Nothobranchius furzeri: one gene and its partners. The protein of the gene in region 1 interacts with the protein of each later gene in a biochemical or structural test. Links are inferred from orthologs where the notes say so. Each region holds a gene or a part of one and is shown in the gene's direction. Other genes may lie near its edges.

Region 1 (6,691 bases):
GGCCACGGGGAGGCGCTGTTTGACGTCTGACAGATCCGGAGTCGCGCTGTGTGTGTGTGTGTGTGTGTGTGTGTGTGTGTGTGTGTGTGTGTGTGTGTGTGTGTGTGTGTGTGTGTGTGTGTGTGTGTGTGTGTGTGTGTGTGTGTGTGTCAGTGGCGGTTCGACATGGAATTACTCCCTGGGCGAGGCCCCCTTTGAGCGCCCCCCCAACCGCCCCCACCACCACCACCACCACACCACCCCACCTGCACGAACACACACGTTTTCTACAAACAGGCATGTTTTATTAGAACGACTACTGAACATTCATTTTTCTAAGTTGCACATATTTACATTAATTACTATGAAGTTGTCAGAATGTAAAGCAATATACATTATGTACTGTATCAAAATATATAGAATCAAATATACAAAAACAACTAAACTAACTAAATATTAAGAATATATGCACATAATATATAATAAATATTCTAAATAGCAAAAATATTTCACACATAACAAACTAAAGATAATCACTACAGCATTGCACTTACAACAGAAAACACAAACTAAAATTAAAACCTAACCTTGATGCAAAGTCATCAATAATGTCATCATATGAAATCTGCTCCCCTACTGAGTGATTGATACTAATCAGAGCCAGGTTAGTGAGCCGCCCCTGAAATATAGGTGACCTCAGGTATGACGATCAAGTTTTGAAAAGCTCCTCTCAGCTTGAGCCACAGTGACTGGCAGAGCAGTCCAAAAGTTGGGGTAGATCTCCAATAGATCTTTATCATGATCCATAATATTTTACAATTGCCTCTGAAATTGTAATTTAAACTGACATAAAAAAAAACTGTAGACTACCAAAAATGCCAACTTTTACAGAACAAACCAGGTAAAAAATAATCAGTGCAGCCATCTGCAATAAATAAACAGGATAGTTAGTGGTGACTGGGGTGTTTTCTTCTGCTTGTAGAGTTGATTTATTTATTATTATGTGAACTTGATCAACATGTGTTTGTTGTTGTTCATGCAGGCCACAGGCTACAGCGAGCATTTAACAAATCCTAGTTTGAATCAGTAAAAAACGATTCAAGGAATTTATTCGAACCATTTGAATATTCGTTTCAATATTTCAGCCCTATTAGCTCTGTTAGCAACTAGTTGACAGAATTTAACCGTTAAAATCCCAGTTAACTGGTTCAAAAAATTGAAAACATTCATCATGAGAGCGAACATACCTTTATCTTTATCCTCTTTTTTTCTTTTTTATTCCTGAATCGGGCACCTGTTGGTTTTAGCCTTTTTATATTCATCTCTTCTGTTTGGCTCTTGACTCAATAAGTTTCCTTTAGTCAGGACTAAACAATTTGACCTTGATGGGGGGGTGACCACAAAATCGTTTTGTTTTTCCTTTTTTTATTCGGCCATTTCACACAATTCAGAAACACCTGAAAGAATGATAGGCCTGTGTTTATGATATTATGAATGAAATGTGGAAGAACATCAAGATGTGATCGACTTTAGCCATGTTGATACAGTTGATTCAGCCCCTACCCTCTCAATTCATTTGGACCCACCAGAGGTGAATTCCCCCGCCGCACCCCTCCCCTTCCTCTTCTTCATACACACACACGGTGCACGGAGCGCCTGCAGCTGCAGGGGGCGCCAACTTGCTGTTTCCAATCCAGACACTGTCATATGACAGATAATAGAAAACCTCGGTGAGGCGCAGATTTCCTTTTTTTTTTTTTACTCAGCGCTTGTGCGCCCCTTTTGTGTCATGAAAAAATGCCGCCCCGGGCAACTGCCCTGTCTGCCCGTGCCTAAAACCGCTACTGGTGTGTGTGTGTGTGTCCGCAGCGTAATGGGCGGAGGAAGGCTGGGCCCAAAGGCACTGCGGCCAGAGAGCGGCTCAAATTACATTCAGGAGGTGCTCGAGAGTAGGGAGGAAGGGGGAGTGACACCCTCAGATGGAAGGCGGAGGGCGGTGTGTGTGCGAGTGTGTGTGTGTGTGTGTGTGTGTGTGTGAGAGAGAGAGAGAGAGAGAGAGAGAGAGAGAGAGAGGAAAAAATCTAGTAAACCTGACAAAGAGTTGGAGAAAACAGTCCGGACTGTCGGAGGTAGAGGAGACTGGGACGCGCGAGGCGCAGCGCAGCGCAGAGACGCACACTGATGGATTTTAGGACATTCCGCCTGGGACAGCCTTCAGCCTCCTGCCACGTCCTTTAGCGCCAGAAAACTTTATGTCCAGTTGACAAGTGCGCTAATCGGGAGCTCTGGACATGTTCTGCGCTCTGGGAGAAACTTGGTGACGGAGAGGAGCGGTTCTGAAGGGAGAAGCAGCGGCTTGGGTTTCTGCGCTGTTTTCGAAGGATAACTCTGGACTCGGATTTCTGCGCGTGACTTTGGACCACGGTGCCGCTCGGTTTTGGAATATAAACACTTCTGATCAGAGTCGATGTCTGCTTATTTTGGAAGCTGGAAAAACAGGACAGCGCCTCTCCAAACATTTTTCCTGCATTGCGTTGGAGACATTCTTCTCCCTGGATTCACCTCATGCACTCTCCTCGCGTATCCGTGCATGCCTAAACACAGACCTCCACGATTTTAGTCCGCACTGGTAAGCGCTGTCTGCTCAACCCGGAGTATTGTGCGTAAAGCTGGAAAAAAGTTCATTCATTTGATTTACATTTCTTTAAAATCTGTAACGTGATGAAACTCGCTGGATTCTCTGAAATGCGCGCTTTTGTGTCCTTTTCTGCACCTTTTCTGCAGAACTAAAGAAAAACAACGATCATTTTTTATATAATTAATAAGTCTGAGGAGGAGGTCCACAACACCTTGCATCATCACTTTAGGATTCCATTCGCATAGTCCTGGTTATTTATTACTTTGCTTCATTTTCTAACTTTGCATTTAAGGTGCCAATTACCCTGTGGCCGCCGTTGTTTTTCCAACGCTCGGTGCCGGAGCCCTAAATCACAGAGAAACTCCAAAACGAGCCCCCACTGTCGGGTAACAGCCAGCTGATTTGAATTTCAATAGGAATTCAGGCAGAGCCAAGAAATTTCATTCAAGGGTCGGGTTTAAATGAAGACAGTGGTGCTTGTTTGGAGCAAAAGTTGCACAGGTTCCGCAGTGGAGAGCGCATTTCTGTGGTTTTGTGATTTATTTGCCGAGTTTTTGCTGCAGAATAATTTAGATTTGGCTTAAAAACACAAAATCCGAGCAGTTTCAATTGTTTTGCACAAGTTTTATTAACTCGTTTGATTACGGGCTCTTCACCTATTTGCGCAAAAGTCAAGGATTTATTCAGGTTACAGGTTAGTCAGATGATCTGGTTTCTCTTCAAAAGGAGAGGGAATCAGATTAAAGTTCACTTCTTTAAACTACGTTCTCTAAATTTCTCCTTACGTGTCTCGTTTGTGAGTAAACCTAATCGATACGTCCAGCTGGAACGGAGCGTGGAAGCGTGACTTCAGCAAAAACCCTCAAGAGACGCGGAACCGCAGATGTCTGGCTAAACAGGCAGACGTGTGTGTGTGTGTGTGTGTGTGTGTGTGTGTGTGTGTGTGTGTGTGTGTGTGTGTGTGTGTGTGTGTGTGTGTGAGTGAGTGAGTGAGTGAGTGAGTGAGTGAGTGAGTGAAACTGGTCTCATTAACAAATCACTGGAGTGCAATTAATTAAATGATGATTATAAGGTTGCGCGCGTCTGGAGCAGGATTTACGCATCTGTTGCGCTGCGCAATTTGATGCCATTGAGGCTGATTTAAAGCCCTCCGCCCTCATCAGTTTGGAACATCTTCCTGTTTTTATGCACCTAAGAGGACTTGTTGAGGTGGGGAAGGTGATAACGAGTGTTTCTCTGGTGCTTCAGAGCGTCGGTACGTCTGTGGTCTGGCTTGTTTGGCAGGATTGTTAAACTTTGTAAAAATTAAACGAAAACCACGATTTGTTTGTCTAACTTTTCTCTCCAATCCTTCACAGTCCAGGTGACTGGGTGAATTCCAGTGAGTGACAGCCTAATCCAGCAGCAGTTGATGGTTGGGCCGAGCCCCTCAGATGGGATCAGTGTCCAGGGGGAGGTGGAGAAGGGGGGCATGGGGAGCTCTCACCCCCTCTAACGGGATGGCCTTGTGGGTCTGGTTGCTGGCCTCCGTCCTGCTGTCCCTTCTGACTGTCAGCGTGGCCCGGCCGCCTCTCACCGCCACCAAAGTGGAGGAGGCAACCCTAGAGCCTGAAGGTAAGCAGCAGGAGGATGAGGAGGAGCAGATGAGCCGTGATGGAGATGGGGTGGAAATGACACATGGTGGGGTTGTATGTCATTTTAGTGATAAAAGCTTCATTTAGCTTCAGAAAACTGATTTATTTATGTTCAAACTTCAAGAAAATCCAGTAAATTGGTGGAAAATATTTAAGCAAAAAAAAAAAAACAAAAAAAAAAACAAGCTCACTCAAAATTGGGGGGAGTGAAGCGAGGGTGGGGGTAAAACAAACAAGTGAGTGGAAAATAATTGACCTGAATGTAGCGAGGTGTGATTTTCCTCACAGAGAAGCGATTCACACCGTTTCGTTTTCCTTCACTGGTGTGTGTGTGTGTGTGTGTGTGTGTGTGTGTGTGTGTGTGTCCTGGCGTCACGTTGCCCCTCCTCGCCTGCAGAGCAGAAAATGAAGAGAAAACCAAAATCCGATTAAAAATCTTTTATTGCTTTTCTTTTGTTAGGAAGAAAAAAATCTTTAAGTATTTTTTAGCTTTTTTCCCAGAAAACCTCAAATTTTCTTCATGCTTCTGCTTTTCGGACGAGTTCATAGCTGTTGTGACGATGCTGAACCACATTCCTCTGCTCTTTGTTCTTTAATCAGGAGGGTAATTTAAAGTTAGCCTGAGAGCATCACACACACACACACACACACACACACACACACACACACACACACACACACACACACACACACACACACACACACACACACACACACACACACACACACACACACACACACACACACCACACACACACTGTACCCTGCAGTCGTCCTTTGCCCCTGGGGTCACGAACTACCCCGGCCCGCCGTGATGAGAGGCTGCCTGGGCCTCGGCGCTCCTCTCTTGTCCTGTTTTTCCGACTCAGACGGTTTGGCTCCCAGCCGCTGAGCCTGGCGTTCCACACACGGATAAAGAAGACGAGGACTTTTTCAGAGTTACACAATCCCTCCAGGAACGCTCTAAGAGGATCTTGGCACGTTTGACTTCTGTAGGTGGAGAGATTACAGAGAACTGCTCAACGGTGAAGTCATGTGACTACAGGGTGGGTAAGGAGGGGGTCATCACATGATGAAGAACCTCCATAAATCAGAGAGAGGTCAGATGTTCTGACTTGTGCGGCGCTGATGGAGATGTTCAGACCCCCCCCCCCCCACCTGGGCCTGTGGGAGCTGAAACCCTGCAGAAACACCAGGCTGCATATCAGTGTGGCCTCTTTAGGGCCCACGCCTGCCCCCCTGGTGGCCCTGGCTGGTTTGTTTACCTGCTGCTGCTGTAACAGAAGACGTGGAGCGAGCGCTGGTTCAAGCCTCCACAACAGTCCCATTGTTGCCGCTCCGGCATCTACGGGAGTGTTTACCTTGTTCAGGCGCTCTCTGTTTGCACAGCGATTAAAACACACAGACACAGCTGAATAACAATGGCACCAGCTCTCCAAAGGTGTGAGCGTTTTGGGCATTTTCCGTCCCGTGGCACGTTCAGGGACTCCGAGTTTTGTTTTTGCTCGTAGTGTGGAGGAAATGTGCACACTGGAGCGAGAGCAGCTGACAAAAGTCAGCTCATGGCTTGGCTTTGCGCCTCGAGTTTTCTGCCAAACTCTGTTCTTCTACAAAAAAATGCTCTGATCAGCATGGAGGCAGTTCTTCAAAATGCTTCAGCGGTTAAATAAATACAGACTCCATTATGGATGGACGACGAATCTTAGAGAGACACAGGAAAGGGACAGATGTCAACAATCCAGCTTCTGATGCTCTGCTGGCAGAAACCGGACCCTGAGTGGTTGTGTGTCTGTGGTCGTGGCTTTCTGCGCTGCAGGACTCCGGCTGCAAACGTGTCAGGAGGCCAGTTAATGACACAAAGTGTGCATCTGTAGTTTGATAATGGAACTGAACTCTATGTATGCAGGGTATCCATGGATGTAATTTTGGGGGGGGACAGGGGGGACATGTCCCCCCACTTTTTCCAAAGTCAAGTTTTGACCCCTGCACTTTTTACCATCCAAAAACAATATTACGCTATATTAAATTGACACTGGTTGAGCTCTAGGACCAAGCAGAAAACAACCGTTTGTGTTGAAGCCGGTTTCCCATTAGAACATACTGTAAAGATACGCCCCCCCCGCCCCCCGTGTCCCCCCCCCACTTCTAAAGTGAAAATTACGTCCATGAGGGTATCCACGGGTCCTTAAAAAGTCTTAAATTAGCTTTTCCAAATTTAAGGCCTTAAAAATCCTTAAAAATGACAAATAACCCTTAAATCCAGTTTCCAAATGTCTTAAATTACCAAAGACCCAATAAACAAGATTCTTTTATTTCTATAAAATTTTCGTGAATTTCTAGTTAGTGTTCAGCATTTTTTGTGTACGATGTTGGCGTAAGCGGAACCGTACACATTCAGTTGGTTGTGAAAGGGGGCTACTTTTAGATGAGCACATTAGCT
Region 2 (5,900 bases), on another chromosome or scaffold:
CATTCAGACATTAATTCTGATCGCTTCACAGCTGGACAGGACACAGTAAAACAATAAATAAATAAAATGTTTCACATATAGCTGTCCCACTGCCATTTGGAACAGTTTTCTATGGTAACTGTAGCAGCCAGTCATGTGATTTATGCTGTATTAACATTTGGTACATTTCCTACCTCACTTAAGTATTCCCGTGTTTTACCACTGCACAAGAAAGCTGCCCTCCCTCCAACTCATAGAGAACTGTGAACTTGTCTCACTCCTACCGTTGCTATCTGAAGGACTCTCATAAACAAACCTCTTTGACCCAAAATAATCTCAAAAATGCCATTCCACAAAAGCCTCATTTATACTTTATAGTCTTAGATGCGTAACGCCATTATGCGTTGGTGCAAGAGCTCTCCGACAGGCTCACAGAGGGTGATGGAGACATGCCCAAAATTTTTTAAACACCCGTCGAAAGTGACGGAGGCCGCAAGCTTGTGATTGGTCAGGACGCTGCTTCCTGTATGTTCGTCACCAGCACCGCCATTGCCCCATTAAAAAGTAAGAAGATATTTAGCGGCAGACCCAGAACAGATTGAAGAACACATTACCGAAAAACTTTGAAAATACTGTATAAATGTTTATTCACCCGTGAGTGAAGGAGTACATAATACGGAGCAAATGCGGACGGAAATGATGGGAAACGTGGGTTTAGAGGTGGCGACTGCATGAAGAGGTGGAGGAGTCTCTGAAATAAATAAACACATTAGTGAATACACTATTGTGAACCGGATACATGAGTGTTATGGTGGCAGGATATCACAGAAAAGTGCTACGCCCTCTGTTGTCCTGGCGGGGAATTGTTTTGCAACGCTCCACTGCCTGTTTGCATATAAAACCTTTCCGACACTCCGTGTGCGTCTCCAACGCGGTGAAGTATAAATCAGGCTTAAAATATCTCTGTTGGCTGTGACAAAAGCCTTAAAAGAAGCCAGAGTGACAGCCAAGTCCATACTTATACTGCTCCATGTATTTACCCACCACCTCCACAGCCTTTCTGAAACTGGACTGCTTCTCTTTCCAGCCAAACCAACCAAACAGCCCGATAATATCACATACGTTGATTACTTCTGTTTCTATATCTATATATAGTTTTGCGAATTCTATATAACGCAAATCCGAGAGAACATACTAACAAATATTTTATTTTTTATATTAATATATGATCTAAAATTATGAAATTCAAAGACTTAGTTAACTTGAAATTTGTACTAATTATGTTTAAGGCTAGAAATAATTTACTGCCAACTAATCTACAAAGGTTCTTTGTTTTGATCCCAAAAAATGATAAGAGTAGAAAGAAACCAGTGTTTAAAAGGATATTTGTTCATACTACATTAAAGCAAATGTGTATTTCAATATTTGGTGTGAAATTATGGAATAACCTGGATGATGAATTAAAAAAATGTACAAATACTGGTCAATTAAAAAAAATGTATAAAGATAAAATGCTAAAATCGTATGATTTGGCGAGTTAAGGATGGGGGATTAATGTTTTAGTATTGATATTATTTGTGGAAGAAAGAGAGCGGTTTATTTTTTGTGTATAAGGCCATTTTGTACTTTTTGTAATTTATCTTGTCTTCGTTAAAGGGGGTAGGTCATATACAATTTTTTTCTTCTTCCTCCCCCTATTTCACTCGAATGCTTATATTCTGGTTGGCAATTGTATTCTGATTTGAAGTTTGTATATTAAAATTTTGAGTGAAATAAAATTATTGAATTGAATCTCAAAGTTGGCTAGAAATTTGGGGGTCATGATTGATAACCAGGTGACCTTTGAAGATCAAGTTGCGTCTATGACTTGATCATGTCATTTTGGATTGTTTAACACACGAAAGATGGACCATACCTACCGCAACATGGCCATCTCTAACCATGACTACTGTAATACCCCTCTAACTGATCTCCCAGCTTGGACAGTGAAGCATCTGCAGATTGTCCTGAACACTTTGGTAACTCTGGTCTTCGGTGAGCCTGAAAGAGCACTAGTCACCCTTCTGATCATTGAGCTCCATCAACTTACCGTTTGCTGCCTGCATCAAATTCAAGTCACTGAATTTAAATTTCTGTATGGAATTGCTCCCATCTACTTGATGGATGGCTGCTTATACTGAGCCAGGATCCTCTGGAGGTTTCTTCTTGTTAAAAGGGAGTTTTCCTCTCCACTATTGCTGCATGCTTGCTTAGGCCTAGTCCACACGTAGCCGGGTTTTTTTTTAAAAACGAATATCCGCCCCTCCAAAAACTTGCATCCACACCACCTCGTTTAAAAAAAAAACTGTCCACACGTACCCGGATAAATACGTTGTTAAGGACATGCCAGACCTGTAGGCGGCAGTACTTCCCCCGTTCTTAACCTCGTCCTTCGTCTGTGGTCTTCCGCAAGGAGCAGTAATTCCGCTTGCAAAAACAAACAAGCAAAAAGCGCTTGGACAATTGATAAAGCGAGCGCAGCTCTGAGGGCATCCATGCTGTCGGCTAGTGTAAACACAGGTCGCACACGTGATGTCAGCATTTTTTTGTCGCGGAAAGTGACGTTGCGGACCTTAAAACTCTGGTTTTGTCCGTCCACACGCAGACACCCAAAACGGAGAAAACGCAGATCTTCACTTTGGCCGGAGTTTTTAAAAAGATCCGTTTTCGTGTGAAAAAAACTCAGTTTTCATGTGAATGACAGGCCAAAACGTAGAAAAATACCTACGTTTTGGCAGATCCCCGGCTACGTGTGGACAGGGCCTTAGTATGAGGATTGCTGTAAAGACTCTGACTCTAGTCAGTGACTTGATGCAACCTGCTGGGTTCCTTATATAGGAAACTTTTTACTGATTGGCTTAATGAACTGACCTGTATTGGAATGTTTACTGTGGGAAGGTCCTTGAGACGACTCTTGTTGTGATTTAGCACTATATAAATAAACTGAATTGAATTATCTTAATTTTATTTTAGAAGGTCTTAAAACGTATTAAAAGGTATTAAATGTATTTTTGAAATCCCTTCATATAGCTACCCTGTGAAACATCCTGCTCAAAATGGTTCCAGACATTACCTGCATTTAGAATAAAAGAATGAATAACTAGTTTACTAATTGGTTGATTATTTTTTTCCTGATGATGTTCTGTGGGTTGTTTAGGACCTACAGTGTTGTGAATGTGGAGAACGGCCAAATGGAGGTGAAGAGGATGTCCTGTCCAGGCAGCAGGATCAGTTGCCAAATGAAGATCCAAAACACCCTGTGGATGTCCACTGAGGTATGCCACCTGCCCACACTAAAATACAGAAAACTAATGCTGTCTTTGAGTTAATAAATTAGTTTGTATAAGAACTGCTCTTTGTAACTTTGTAAAAGGAACAAGAGATGTTCATCTACAGTCTGAAGGACATGTGTCCACTAAGTCAACCCCAAAAGCAGTTCTCTTGTCCGGCTGTGATCACATGTCTGTTCTATGTTCCAGCACGAGCACAGGTGAGTCTGCCTCTCAACTAACTCTGTTCAGGTCTTTGTCTCAATATATCAATGTGTTGAGGAGACATGCTAGTCTTGAGTCCTCTGGATGATCATAGTAACGATATTGGTAGTATTAGAAATTATATTATATTATATTAGTATGACCAGGAAGCCTAAATTACAATCAGTCCAGTGCAAAATTCTCCACAGAGTACAATATACAAGTCAGTGGATGTTCAGGATAAGGTTTGCACTGTCTGACACCTGTAAGCAATACACAGACAACACTCCTGACAATTATGTTCATGCACGTGGTCTTGTCCACTGGCTCAGGGATTCTGGTGCCAAGTATGTGAAGACTGGTCAAAGTATAACTTCCCCTTTACTTTTCTTGCTGGGAAACTTGAATGACATCCCCTTAATTCGATTCATGTGGTCCTGACTGCCCTACGTATTGCTGAGAAAACTATCCTTTGCCTTAACCAGTATAGAAAAATTTTGTTACACTTGAGACAGCCTCTGCCTCCACGTCAGATCAATCTGTGGGCTCCTTTGACCTGTTCATCACATGGGCTGCATAGTGGCGTAATGGTTAGCACTGTCGCAGCAAGAAGGTTACAGGTTTGAAACCTGGCTGCGGTCTTTCTGCGTGGAGTTGCCTGTTCTCTCCACACACGCGTGGGTTTCCTCCGGGCACTCCGGTTCCCCTCACAGATCACAACATCCCCTATAGGTTATAAATTGTACGTTGCTAAGGATAAAAGTGTCTGCCAAATAAATAAACATAGCAATGAAACAGGGTCATTGACTTTGCCCTGCAGGATGTGATGGTTGGTGTGGGAGTGATGTGGGGGTGAGTTTTTTAATAATAATAATAATAACAATAATAATAATAGTAATACATTGAACTTATGCAGGTACTTCTCAAAAAATTAGCATATTGTGATAAAGTTCATTATTGTCTGCAATGCACTGATAAACATTAGACTTTCATATAGTTTAGATTCATTACACACAACTGAAGTAGTTCAAGCCTTTTATTGTTTCTAATATTGATGATTTTGGCATACAGCTCATGAAAACCCAAAATTCCTCTAAAAATAGCATATTTCATCCGACCAATAAAAGAAAAGTGTTTTTAATACAAAAAAGTCAACCTTCAAATAATTATGTTCAGTTATGCACTCAATACTTGGTCGGGAGTCCTTTTGCAGAAATGACTGCTTCAGTGCGGCGTGGCATGGAGGCAATCAGCCTGTGGTACTGCTGAGGTGTTATGGAGGCCCAGGATGCTTCGATAGCAGCCTTAAGCTCATCCAGAGTGTTGGGTCTTGCGTCTCTCAACTTTCTCTTCACAATATCCCACAGAGTCTCTACGGGGTTCAGGTCAGGAGAGTTGGCAGGCCAATTGAGCCCAGTAATACCATGGTCAGTAAACCATTTACCAGTGGTTTTGGCACTGTGAGCAGGTGCCAGGTCATGCTGAAAAATGAAATCTTCATCTCCATAAAGCTTTTCAGCAGATGGAAGCATGAAGTGCTCCAAAATCTCCTGATAGCTGCTGCATTGACCCTGCCCTTGATAAAACACAGTGGACCAACACCAGCAGCTGACATGGCACCCCAGACCATCACTGACTGTGGGTACTTGACACTGGACTTCAGGCATGTTGGCATTTCCCTCTGCCCAGTCTTCCTCCAGACTCTGGCACCTTGATTTCAGAAAGACATGCAAAATTTGCTTTCATCCGAAAAAAGTACTTTGGACCACTGAGCAACAGTCCAGTGTTGCTTCTCTGTAGCCCAGGTCAGGTGCTTCTGCTGCTGTTTCTGGTTCAAAAGTGGCTAGACCTGGGGAATGCGGCACCTGTAGCCCATTTCCTGCACACGCCTGTACACGGTGGCTCTGGATGTTTCTACTCCAGACTCCATCCACTGCTTCCGCAGGTCCCCCAAGGACTGGAATCGGTCCTTGTCCACAATCTTCCTCAGGATCCGGTCACCTCTTCTCGTTGTGCAGCGCTTTCTGCCACACTTTTTCCTTCCCACAGACTTCCCACTGAGGTGCCTTGATACAGCACTCTGGGAACAGCCTATTCATTCAGAAATTTCTTTCTGTGTCTTACCCTCTTCCTTGAGGGTGTCAATGATGGCCTTCTGGACAGCAGTCAGGTCGGCAGTCTTACCCATGATTGTGGTTTTGAGTAATGAACCAGGCTGGGAGTTTTTAAAAGCCTCTGGAATCTTTTGCAGGTGTTTAGAGTTAATTAGTTGATTCAGATGATTAGGTTAATAGCTCGTTTAGAGAACCTTTTCATGATATGCTAATTTTTTATATAGGAATTTTGGGTTTTCATGAGCTTTATGCCAAAATCATCAATATTAGAAACAATAAAAGGCTTGAACTAATT
Region 3 (4,595 bases), on another chromosome or scaffold:
GTGGACAAATAGTATGAGTTGATTACAGATAAGCTTTTAAAGGAAGAAAAAAAGAAAAATCTTGTGCTCCTGTGACAAAAAGCTGAGGTCCTTTCCAACACATTTGTTCTTGGATCAAAACTCAAAACATCTGGAAAATGTTTTTAATTATTCACTTCTTTTCTTTTTCAAAGTTTTCTCCCTTTCAAAATAAAAAAAATGCTGGTCATTTTGGGAGTCATATTATAAAAATTAAATATATTTTTTGAACCAATGTTGTTTGACCAAACTAAGGAATATACTTTATTCATTCATTTATTCATTTATTTATTTATTTATTTATTTATTTATTTGTTTATTATTTCTTCACATGACCCACTGGAATACACATTCACAGAAGGCACAGTTCAGTAAGAAAGACTTCCCAGAAGCCAAAGTTTATATACTTATATAGGCTTATAAACAAGGGCCCACATAATCACTAATAACACTACAATCTACATTTATGTAAAAATAGACCTCTAAAGCAAACAAGTTAATGTAACAATATAGATATTAACTTTTATAGTAAACAAAACAGTTTAATTTAAATTAAGATTGCTAAATTATTATGTAAAACACAAATTATAGTCTTAAAATTTTAACAATTTACTTTTAGGGTATTAAAATGAATACAAAGCAGCATGAAGGCAGCGCACAGCCATTTCCATATAGGCCTGTCCATTAATAAGAAAAAGGTTTTAAAGAAAAGATTTTTTTTAAAGATGAGATATATTTTACAAACCGTGTAAGAGTTGGAGGAAAACATAACATTTTGGTGCAGATCAGGATCTGTTAGTTCAAACGTGTACACTTCTAGCTTTTCTAAAACATCTTTAGAAATAAAAAGTGTGTAAACCTTTTTATCAGTCAATGTTTTCAGACACTATTCGTGTCTAACTAAAAGGCAAAGCCTTTAATTCAGAACAGTAAATGTGAGACTTTCCAGAGAAATTAGAATAAATATTTATCTGACAAATGATGGAAATCTGTTTAATCTGGGAAAAGGTTTTTTAATGTATGTTTGGGCCTGTGTTTTGAGTTTTCACAGAGAACAAAATAACTAATATTAGTTTTACTACAAGAAAGCTCATCCATACATCTCTGGCTTCCCCAAACATAAAGGACACAAATGGTTGACTGGTTTTGAATGCATCAGGGAATTAAATGAATTTTACCTTTAATCCTGATGAACAAAACTTAATCAGCAGATCACAGAAGCAGGATGAGGAGAATATCTGGTCCAACATGAAGTGTAAGAAAAGCACACACTAAATTCCCAGATTGGGACATGACCATCTGTTTGTAATCTGGCAAACGCTGATGTGTGTGCATGCTCACTGTCATTCTGACAGGTTTTAATAGCTATTGCTCTTTTTTTCTCCCTTTGCCTGTCAAATGAAAGAATTTTTCAAACAGAAAAGCATTCAAAGCTTTATATCAAGAACAGAGAAAAAATCCCATCCGGCATCTGGATCTCATTTTTGTTCTTGATATAAAATAATGTTTATCTAAGAATGAAATTTGAGTCTCAGCGTTAAATATTTATAATCTAACATCTCAATGCTACCAAAAAAGACAAAGCAAAACTTTATATTTCTTTACTTTATTTTCAGCCACAACCTTTATTTATTAAACACTCTCACACAGCCTGCGGTCAAACAAAGTGCTGAACAAACCATACACACAGATAAAAACCTACAATTATAATAGATGAAAGGATTTACATAGAAAGTAGCCAGGTGAGTATACTGATGTGCTAAATTGCAAATACCTTCTATGTAAAAGGTCCCTTTTTACTGAACTTTAAATGAATTACAGCTTTGAAACATTACACTTAAAAACCGCAAGTGCAAAAAATCTATGCTACGTATTCTAATAATTTATGTGTAAAAATATTGAGTAGAATTTAAAAATAATTCCCCCCAAAAAGCTAGCTTGGCCATTTTTACCTTCTCACAAATCTGACGAGCACATCTAAATTGTGGCATGCAAAGCACGTGCAAGGAGGTAGTTTCCTCAGTCCCATGGGAGGGAGGCCTAATCTGTCTCCCATATGTGCCAGTGGCATAGGTTATGGTTTGCGTAACGGCCACCCAGGCAAGTTAACAAGACTTGAACCGAGCCAGAGAGACCACTGACTGATTCATCACAGCAACTTCCCTTTTCTTTGTTAATGAAGATGAATGTTGAGGTCAGGATGGAGGGTGACAGTTTCTTATCTGTTCTGCAACATGTCTCATTTTCTGAACCGTCTGGCAGGCATCCTCGAGATCAGAACTGTGTCCGAGGGAGGAATCCTGGCCATCAAAGGTGTCAAGAGCCAGTACTACATCTCTATGAGCAAGAACGGGAAGCTGAAAGGAAAGGTAAGGCTGAGTTCAGCGGCGATGCAGTCAGGTAGCCCTACTACATCTCTTAGTATCATCAGGACCAAGAACTGACCATTTGTTTTTCATTACAGAGGATCTACAGTGAAAATTGCAACTTCAAGGAATTTTTCCTAGAAAACTACTTCAATGCATACGCCTCTGTGAAGTGGAACAAAACAAATGAAATGTACATAACGCTGTCTCAGAAGGGAATGCCACAGCGGGGGAACCGGACCAGGAGGGAGAATGTGGCATCTCACTTCATCCCGATGAAATGCAAGGAGGAGGAGAGGAGAGTGGAGTAAAAGGGGCTAAGGACTTAAAAAGTGAAGGACTTCATTCACATTTATATCGTATATCTCAATACACATGTAGCTTCATCACAAACATCTCGCTCCAACCTCCGACTGTGTACTTTCTAAACAGCAAACCTGGACACTCAGGTAAGGAAGACACCAAAGCTCAAATTCATAGAAATCTCAGCAAACCTACAGTGAAAGTTCAGTCAATGATGTAATTATTTGCAAGGATCATCCGTGTGAGACCAGAGGAGGAGACCTGTAAAGAACCGGGTCGGACTTTTGATTCAAACAAGAAGTGCTGAAGCAAGCTGGACTTGTCTTTGATCATTGTACAGAATGTGGACTAGATCAAAATAACACGCAGTAAAACAAGAAAGACTGGTGTGTGTGTGTGTGTGTGTGTGTGTGTGTGTGTGTGTGTGTGTGTGTGTGTGTGTGTGTGTGTGTGTGTGTGTGTGTGTGTGTGTGTGATCTGTCCTTCCTGCATTGACTCTGGTCAAATGCACTGTAGCTGCTCAGTGACTCCCTTTTCTTTATTAAAGTGTTAATTTGAAATGCTAAAGTATTTTGCTGCTGCTGACATCCAGACTAAAACACAACGTAAGCAACGTGTGTGAGCTATATCCTCTTTTTCAGAGCTAATACTCCTGTACACCAAAAGACTGCATATTTATTTGTAAAGATACTTTCTTCGCTTTCTGTTTAGACATTCCCATTTTACCATGAGAGATGCCTTTATTTAATCAGAAAATGAGTGAAAATTAATTTCAGAAACATTGTTTAAGCTTTACATTGTAGGACTTTATCATTAATCATCACTTTTATTTCTTTATTTAAAGCAAATGTATAAAAAGTACCTTTTTACGGTGTGTCGTTCCACCTGGATAAGGTCTTATGGACTGATTTCCTGTTGTTTTCTCCACTAGAGGGTATAAAAGACCTATAAATAAATTAATTTCTATATGCTTATAGAGTTCATCTGGTTAACAAAAATGTATTAGATATTTTTCACGGTTTCTTTGCCTACATCACCATGTAATGAACCACATCTTTATCCTGCCAGTATTAGAACCATGACATTACAAGCATTGGAGGAACTTGAACATGCATGTGCACATAGTTTACATGTAGTTTATTCTGTTTATTTTTGATCAAATTAAGATTATTCAAACACATCATACCGTCTGATCTTCATAATCTAAGCCTGCAGAGAAACAACTACAGCATCTCATGTTTACCTTAAAGTTTTGCCCAGACGATTATTTATTGTTTCCTGAATATTTAAGATGATGCAGTTTCACTCAAAGGCAAACACTGCAGATTGATGGCAAACTCTCTACTTGACAACAGAAGGTTCACTGCTCTAGTCACAGCAGTAACGTAAAAAAGGGGACCTCTTAAATAGAAAGAAAAAATAAAACAATAGAAGATGTGCTGGCAGTCTGCCAGAACATGCACACACACTTATATAAACACAAGTGTGTATTCTCCAAAAGAAAACCACGAACATGACGAACACGAAGAACCTTTGGCCTGAGTTCACATCTGGCTTGGAGAACCCCTGTCAGATCAAGACGGTGGAATCGGGAGAGCAAACCTATGAAATACGATTGACCCAAACAACATCTGAGTAAGGTGAAGGCTTCTGCCAAGTCACGCAAAGTTAGTCTTAGCAGATAATTTGTAACATGCTCAAAATGTAAACACATTTCAGATTCAAGGCTGCATGTTCCCAGCGGGGTGGAGGAGAAGCCGACCAACAAGGGGCGAGAACCTTCACAGACGTCCAGGAGAAGAGACACAGCACACAGAAACACTCAGCTGTTGCTACCTCCAGGACAGTTTCAGTTCTTCAAATGTACCTAAATTATTCTAGGACTAAAGGATAAAATGAACTGAACGT

What was found. The genes of interacting proteins can lie anywhere in the genome.
Region 2: the proteins of fgfr2 (region 1) and lrrk1 form a complex in vitro, tested with the Homo sapiens proteins (2 studies listed by BioGRID and IntAct, with this or other methods). The link is inferred for Nothobranchius furzeri from reciprocal best matches to the Homo sapiens genes FGFR2 and LRRK1.
Region 3: the proteins of fgfr2 (region 1) and fgf7 form a complex in vitro, tested with the Homo sapiens proteins (3 studies listed by BioGRID). The link is inferred for Nothobranchius furzeri from reciprocal best matches to the Homo sapiens genes FGFR2 and FGF7.

What each region holds. Positions count from the first base shown.
Region 1 is NC_091752.1:4,206,993-4,213,683, forward strand, and holds the start of fgfr2 (fibroblast growth factor receptor 2), read left to right. Parts: upstream 1-2,372; 5' UTR 2,373-2,608; intron 2,609-3,851; exon of another isoform or gene 3,852-3,872; intron 3,873-3,975; 5' UTR 3,976-4,050; coding exon 4,051-4,231; intron 4,232-6,691. UniProt on the Homo sapiens protein: Tyrosine-protein kinase that acts as a cell-surface receptor for fibroblast growth factors and plays an essential role in the regulation of cell proliferation, differentiation, migration and apoptosis, and in the regulation of embryonic development.
Region 2 is NC_091749.1:7,380,354-7,386,253, forward strand, and holds part of lrrk1 (leucine-rich repeat serine/threonine-protein kinase 1), read left to right. Parts: intron 1-3,175; coding exon 3,176-3,293; intron 3,294-3,391; coding exon 3,392-3,508; intron 3,509-5,900.
Region 3 is NC_091749.1:43,170,671-43,175,265, forward strand, and holds part of fgf7 (fibroblast growth factor 7), read left to right. Parts: intron 1-2,280; coding exon 2,281-2,387; intron 2,388-2,482; coding exon 2,483-2,695; 3' UTR 2,696-4,595. UniProt on the Homo sapiens protein: Plays an important role in the regulation of embryonic development, cell proliferation and cell differentiation. Required for normal branching morphogenesis. Growth factor active on keratinocytes.